Linked DNA regions of Bombyx mori. The protein of the gene in region 1 purifies or fractionates together with the protein of each later gene. This does not show direct contact. Links are inferred from orthologs where the notes say so. Each region holds a gene or a part of one and is shown in the gene's direction. Other genes may lie near its edges.

Evidence for each region. The genes of interacting proteins can lie anywhere in the genome.
Region 2: the proteins of vacuolar protein sorting-associated protein 41 homolog (region 1) and vacuolar protein sorting-associated protein 33A purify together in Homo sapiens (affinity purification with mass spectrometry; 5 studies listed by BioGRID and IntAct, counting the BioPlex papers as one, with this or other methods). This does not show direct contact. The link is inferred for Bombyx mori from reciprocal best matches to the Homo sapiens genes VPS41 and VPS33A.

The regions. Positions count from the first base shown.
Region 1 is NC_085123.1:777,700-781,794, forward strand, and holds the start of vacuolar protein sorting-associated protein 41 homolog, read left to right. Parts: upstream 1-1,170; 5' UTR 1,171-1,395; coding exon 1,396-1,828; intron 1,829-3,195; coding exon 3,196-4,095. UniProt on the Homo sapiens protein: Plays a role in vesicle-mediated protein trafficking to lysosomal compartments including the endocytic membrane transport and autophagic pathways. Acts as a component of the HOPS endosomal tethering complex.
Region 2 is NC_085122.1:6,404,575-6,408,787, forward strand, and holds the start of vacuolar protein sorting-associated protein 33A, read left to right. Parts: upstream 1-1,259; 5' UTR 1,260-1,439; coding exon 1,440-1,556; intron 1,557-1,987; coding exon 1,988-2,187; intron 2,188-2,959; coding exon 2,960-3,139; intron 3,140-3,772; coding exon 3,773-3,893; intron 3,894-4,213.

The DNA.
Region 1 (4,095 bases):
TGGTGATGCTATTATTGCCAATGTCTATAAAAAATTTAAATGTTAAGTTTATAAAAATCTTCAATTAAAAAATAGATACATATTCTGATAAATGGAAAATGAAATGATGAAAAAATGAATTAAATTTGCTTTATTTGAAACTGTAATTAATTGGGATGAAATTAATTAACACGAAAAGAGAAGAGATGAAATAAAAACTCAGTAAAATAGTGGTTATAAGACTATTTTATCTGATCAATGAGAATTCAGTGGACCTTTTGGAAGAACGTGAGACAACGTCCAGCAAGTTACCATTATTATCGTTTATGCTTACAGAAACATTTTTAAATAATACAATTCACACAACCTCGCACCTTACGTATCGCTAAAAAGCTAATTAGATTCGAACCAAATAATATTGACGGATCTTATATATTCTGTTGATAGCGGTAAATACACATTTCATACTTTTCTAATACATATATAAATATATAAGTTAGACAACCAAATGATTTTTTAAATCTTGATAGGCTCGCTATGAGCGATGCTAGGTGAATTGTTTTATTTGTTTATTTAGTGTTCCTCTAAGGTTAAATGAATTACAATAGCGACTTAAAAACCATTTAGCATTTACGAAAATACATGCAATATATGTGCTGTAAGAGGTAATTTCCGGTTCTTCCATGAATTGATGTACTCATGTTATATTATTATCTACTTCATATAATTATGGAGCTGAATGATGCTACCATTGTGAACTTCTTTGGATTGGATTTTTCTGCTGGGTCTAATCCACTTAAAAGGATTAATTAAAGTCTAGTCTAAGTCTTTTGATTTTGTTATTTAATATTTGATTACGATGGTGGAACGGAACGGTGGTTTAATAGCTGTTTAGGATCTGTAAAAATGCACAAAAATGCGGGAAAATAAAAAAAAAACACTGAAATAAAAAAAAGACGAAGCATGTACTAAAAAGTCCACTAACATAATCTCAGTAAAGAAACTCCCATTTTACTACGACTATAATTCATCCCATCTGAATTCGATTTCTGTAATTTCATCCCAATCCATTACAGTATTAAATAAATCAATTTCACATCATTTCACCTATATTCTTTTTTTTTCATAACATTTTTAGATAACAGAATATATGTCATGTATAAAAGATTACAGTGTATGGTAATCGCCTTAACCTTCGCCAAACCTGATGGAAAATGGGACTTCTACTATAAGCTATCGTTTCACAAACCGTGCAAGCCACAATAAAAAAAAAACTTGTTTTGTCAAATTCAGTTAAATGTCAAAATCAGAAAGACAATAATCAAATTCAGAAAAGTGCAGAACAGAACAAACGAAAGAAGAATTACGTTTTTATTATTAAAATGTGATTTTTTTAAACGGTTGAAATTCAAAACAATGGCTGTTAATATTGAGAGCTGCGAAAGCTTGCCTCCCGATGAGGAGCCGAAGCTAAAATACGATAGAATGGAAAATGATTTATTGAATATTTTACTGAAAGACGCTGTCAGTTGTATTTGTGTTCACACCAAATTCATCTGTATCGGAACACGTTGGGGTGTGATACACCTGCTAGATCACGAAGGTAACATAGTTGCTATATCCCAGGACGGGAAGACTGAATTCCAGGCTCATACTATCGCTGTCAACCAAATATCTGTAGACCAAAATGGGGATTACATAGCGAGTTGTTCAGACGATGGTAAAGTTGTCGTATATGGATTGTACAGTAATGATAACACGCACAACCTAAATTTAGGCAGGGCAGTGAAATCAGTTGCATTGGATCCTTGCTACTTCAAGTCAGGTTCAGGAAGAAGATTTCTTACAGGTAAAAAACGTTGTACTTAGTATGAATAGAATATTTAGGAAATCCTTTAAACCTCATAACCAAGTCTTATGTAAAAAACTAGTACATAAATAGTCAATAAAATATATAAATGTCGAATTTAAAATGAATTTATTCTGTAGTAATAATTAAATAATTGAGAACGAATTACACACATCTGGCCCCAGATAAGGATGTCCTGAATTATGAATGTTAATTGTAAATGAATTATGAATGTGGCTGCCCCACCCTTCAAACTGAAATGCATTACCGCTTCACGGCAGAAATAGGCAGGGTGGTGGTACCTACCCATGCGGACTCACAAGAGGTCCCACCACCAGTAAAAAAGACAAATCTGAAATTATTCAAAATGAATCTATTGAAAATGAATGAATCTATAAAAATATTCTGTAAATATATGGTAGGTATACAATATCACTGTTTAAAATGAAACTATAGTTAGATAAAAAAACACAACTACATTTATGCCAGGTCATTACACATTAACCATATAACTTGTGTATAAATCCACCTACTCTGCCTAGTAAATTTTTATTGACTTGAATACATTGACTTTTTGCATTAAAAGTGTACAATTTCCAAAAATATTCGAAATTGAGTTAATATGCTTAAATATTTGGTATCACCAGTATTTTTCTCATAAATACTGTCAAAAGAGTGTAGTTTAGTTTTAGTTTTTTTTAGTTTACCTATGATTTTACTACTATTAATAAAATCAATACATAATTTTATCTTACTTTATAAGACAGATAATGTAACTGATAATAAAAAAAAAAATGTTGCAAAGATGATTAATATTAAAAATATTACATGTTAAACCTTTAAAACACTCTCCTATAAAATTAGTTAGTTTTGAAATTATACAGTTTTAATGCGAGAAGAGGACATGTGTTCAAAAGATTATAAAACTTGAAGCATACATGTGATTCTAGAGCTGATCATACATGGCTTGAACGTACAACTTCACTTCATTAAACAATATAAATATAAACAACATTCAGATCATAATTCAAATCGTTTTATTTTTTCGCAACTTTGCTTGTAAATTATGAAAAGGCAAACTCGGGCAGAAATTTTGTGGATGTTCCCTTCCCTTTCCCTAAACTCACCCATAGTACGTAACTTATGCTTCCCTTAATCGTTTTGTCCTTTCTCTGCTTATGATGCATTCGTGATTTCCAGTGTTAAAGGAAGGAACTTCCATATTACGATGCCATTAAGACTATTAACTCATGTCTTGAGGTACGACGATAGTGACATCGTGACATAGTTTCCAGTAAACACTAAATTACCAAGTGAGTTATGAGTTTGTTTGCTCATCCAAAATTATAACATGTGTATTCTTCCAGGTGATCACAGATTGACACTATATGAAAAATCATTCCTTAATCGAATACGAACTACAGTATTACATGAATGCAAGGGAAACGTACAAGCCATGTCCTGGCAAGACAGGTTTGTAGCATGGGCAAGTGAAGTTGGGGTCCGTGTTTATGACCTAGTTGCTAAATGCTCTCTAGGTCTCATCCAATGGGAAAAGAACCTAAATAGATCTATTGAAGACTACCGCTGCAATCTTCTCTGGTCTGCTCCTAAGACTCTAATGATCGGCTGGGTTGATACCATCAGGATATGTGTCATTAGAAAGCGAAGTCAAATTGAATTACAGACTCGTGATGTCACAGAATACCTCGTGGATCCAATATATACCTACCAAATAGATTATTTTATAGGAGGTCTGGGCCCTTTGGACGATCTATTAGTTTTATTAGCCGTTCCAAAAGAATGCGATCCTAAAACCGGAAAGTCGCAAATGCCCGTTTTAATAGTGGCGAATTATAAAGGCTGCGAATTCTGCGAGATATCTTGGGAGACTTTAGACATAAGGGGCTACCAAGAATATAACTGTAATGATTACCATTTAGATATGCTTATAGAAGAAAACAGATTTTTTATTGTTTCCCCCAAAGACATTATCATAGCGAGCCCTTACGACATTGACGATAGAGTCACTTGGTTGACCCAACATAGAAGGTTCGAAAAAGCTATTGCCGTGTTGGAAGAGGTCGGTGGTAAAACTTCTAAGCACTCCGTGATGACGGTGGGCGTACAGTATTTAGATCACTTGCTCTCTGAACATCTTTATCAAGAGGCTGCCATTCTCTGTGCCAGAATATTTAAAAACGATAAAGTTTTATTAGAAAATCAAATATTAAAGTTTGCCGGCGTCAAACAACTTAGAACTATAA
Region 2 (4,213 bases), on another chromosome or scaffold:
TGTATCCACTAACATTCTTGTTACCAAAGTTTTTTTTTCTAAGTCTCGAAGCAATGAATGAAATTTCCATTAAAATGCCACCAAATATAATGTGCTTGCTATCTGAAAATTACTAGACATAACACAAAACTGAAATAAATGGTTCTGTGCTTGAATTCGAATGCATTATCTATTCATTTGCTATTATAATTTGATATCTGTACGCTTAGTGCCAGTTTTTTACCGTTCTCGATAGCATAAAGGTTAACTCAAATCTGTATGGAGTTGAAACGCTTGCCTACGTTTGCCGCTAGGGGCGCTGTTCCAACAGTATACAAAACTGAGATCGGAGGTAAGAATGTGATCGTACGGCCCGGCCCCTGTAGGTGAAGGTCACGGGGCAACGAAGATGGGTGGACGAGCTCACAGCCCACCTGGTGTTAAGTGGTTACTGGAGCCCAAAGACATCTACAACGTAAATGAGCCACGCACCTTGAGATATAAGTTCTAAGGTCTCAAGTATGATTACAACGGCTGCCCTACCTTTCAAACCGAAACGCTTTACTGCTTCACGCCAGAAATAGGCAGGGTGATAGTACCTTCCCGCGCGGACTCACAAGAGGTCCTACTACCAATAAATAATTGTCTGATTGAAGTATTCATTGACTGCGGTAGCCCCTATACTTCACCCGGATCTGACCTCAGGGGGCATCAGGCAATTGGGCGAGAGTTTAGGGAAGTTGTAAAGTGGATAGGCCCCTAAATTCTATACCTTGGGCCCGCAGTCCAATGCGGTCCTAGATACCCCGCACACCCTCTAGGCGCGGGGACCTCATAGGGGCTCAGCCCCGGCTCACAAAAAAAATTATCGCATAATCTGTATAACTCTGAACAAAACTATCACATGTCAGGATTTTTCGACGGGAATGCGAGGAGCGAAGTTGTGTGAATTGTTTTAATTTGTCAATATAGTCCTTCTTTAGGTTTGAATTGTAAAAACAATGATTTGTTATCTACTTAGTATCTGTGAAAATGCACAAATGTAAGAAAATGAAACAAAACCGCTGGGCAAGATCTTCCAAAAATCCAGTGAAATTTTGTAATAAATAAGCAAAATTTTACTGAGTCTATATTTTATCTCGTGTAATTTCGTCTCGCCGTAATCGATCAGTGTCTCATATTTCATTCATTTTGCATTTTTTTTATTATTCAACAAAATACACAAAATATTGGCCTGTATAGTTTGATACATTTGCCTTTTCAGTTGGAATTGAAACTGTCAAGTGTCGCTTTGCCTTCAAATGTCAACTCAAAATGTAGTCAATAAAAACATGATAAAAACATAAATTTGTATCAATGATAAAGTTGTATCTATGATAAATTCATTTATGTGTTGAAAGAAAAACAGTCAACAAATAACAATTATTAAATACATCTGTTAAAAAGGCTGCTTAACAAAAATGAGAGAAACTAAAATGAGCAGCCACCTTGCGGGTGGACGACTGAATGTTGCTTTACTTCAAGAAACAATGAGAACAGAATTATTAAATTTATTACAACAGTACAGTGGCCCTAAAGTAAGTTTATAAACATACTATGATGTTTCACAACTTACCATTTATTTATTATCCGAAGTTACAATAGCTCTAAATCTATATTTAACTTACTGTAACAGGTGTAAAAAATTATTTGTTTATAAATGCTACTGGCCACTGACTTATTCGAAATTAATATTGTTCAAATTTAAAAACGCCTCCGATAGAAGAAATCAACTCGTACTGAAGAATAAATTGTTGTTTTTACTTGTCATGTTTGAACGTTACCTTCAGTTCCACTCTGTTAAGTATTTTTTTAGAAACTGGTTAAGTTACTATTGGCTTTTGACACGTCTGAGAGCTTACTCATAGAGAGAGTAAAATTTATATTATTGATTCTTAATTTTAAAAGCCGACTTAACTTAATAAGTGTATGGCTCTAATAAATAATTTAAAAAAATCTTAATTTTCAGGTAACAATTTGGGATGACTGGCTAGCTGGGCCTGTAGGCCTTGTTGCTCAGTACTCATTCCTTAAAGACCATGAAGTCAACAATATGTTTCTTCTGAAACCAGGAAGCCTACCCAATATAACCGTCAAACATATTATATTTATTAGTAGACCCAAACTTTCATTGATGGATTTGGTTGCTGATTACATTTTATCAATAAGGTACTGAATTTGTGTAGTTATTTTTTGTTTTGTAAGTGATGATTAGAGTATAAATTGTTAACATTGTATGTTAATGAATATCAATATTAATTAATTTCTCGCTATCATATTTGCCGAGCGTGCTTTATAATTCATTTACTTATTTTCCTGTTACAAAATTTTAGATAGTATCTGGATTGAGCCTGTTGTGTGAAAATATAACAATTAAGGTGCAATTTAAAATAGTACAGTTTTACAAGGATCAAAGTTTCTAAAGTTATTAATCGAGTACTTATTCATATTAAGTAAAGTTACAAAAAAGCATAGGTAAATAAATCTAGTATAGATTGATATAGTCCAGTGATATATACCAGGCCGGGGCAAATGGCGGCGGTAGAATTTTGTCTGACCCGTGAAGCTTTATATATATTATTATTAAAAACACAAATATTATTTATTTCTATTTCTGCCGTGAAGCAGTAATGCGTTTCGGTTTGGAGGGTAGGGCAGCCGTTGTGACTATACTGAGACCTTAGAACTTATATCTCAAGGTATGTGGCGCATTAACCACTGTGTCCAGTAACCACTTAACACCAGGTCGGCTGTGAGCTCGTCCACACATATAAGCAATTAGTTTTTAAGTAAAATTTGAAAAAAAAAACTGTTTGGCCCGCGGTCAAATTTTCATCTGCAATGTGACCTTACTATCAAAATATTTGCCCACCCCTGGTCTATACCAACAATAACAGAAACCAACTAAAATTTAAATTCGAATATATTACTCAATATACAGGGCCAAGCAAACAGCTCCAGTAGAATTTCACTTGTTCTTTGTGCCACGCAAAAGTGAACTGTGCAAAGTACATCTCACCAATAGAGGAGTGGTCAGTAACATGACAATTGAAGAGTTTAAGTGTGACATCATTCCATTCGAAAGTGATGTCATGTCTTTAGAACTACAAAATGACTTCCGGTCAGTATATTTGCTATATTATGTTAATTTTAAAATCTTTAAAGATGGAAGTAAATTTTTCAATATCCTTTTGATGATATAGTTACGTCCCAAATGATAAAGTGACGGGTTTACTCATAGTAAGTAATGTTACTATATCAGTGCTCACTGTGGAAATCATTTGTGAACATTTATTAAATACATACTTGGAGGAGGCCTTTACCCGAGGGGGGGTTCATGGAAGTAGCAATAATACCTAGTATTATTCAACAAACATAATTGTTAGTTAATTAATCACATAGATCCATTGATTTAATTTTGATTTTATAAGTCACTTGCATGAAATAAAAGACTTTTTTTATTTGTTAATTTTTTATATATATTTATTATTAAGTACATATTCATTAGAAAAATAATGCCTGTAGAATTCAGTCACATTGCTCGATACGAATGCACCTGTTGCCTTATCCTTTAGGCTGCGATAAGATTAAAGTTACAGTTAGTTATAAATGCTTCTATAACATGATTGTACAAGTTAACTTTTTTTTAAGTAATTATTGTACAACATTGTTTAAATTTCTGCAATGAAAAGTTTGAAGTGGCTTAAATACAAAACTAATGCATGTTGATGTGTAACATTGAAATAATTTGCAGAGAAAATTACATAGAAGGTGACACAAGTTGCATATACAATGCTGCACAGGCACTAAGAACCATCCAACAGTTTTATGGAATTGTGCCTCGTGTATTCGGGAAAGGCCAAGCAGCTAAACAGGTACGTTTCTTGACTGACAACATTTAACTGAGACAGAAACAATGTCTTTTAATTGTGATATTTGCAAAGTTATACTTTAAATGTTTTGGATAGTCACATCAGTGTTGTGTGATTTCTGAGTTTGATATTTATAATTAATTTTTTAAATCGATAAATAAATTACCTTTGCTACTATTAAGTTTGTAAATAATTCAATACAAGAAGCACAAATTTCATGAACATATACACATTTACACACACGATTTAAGTGGATATATTGTAAAAGCAGAATATTATTATTATTTTTCCGGACGTGCCAAGAACCGTCTTCTTTCTGAACT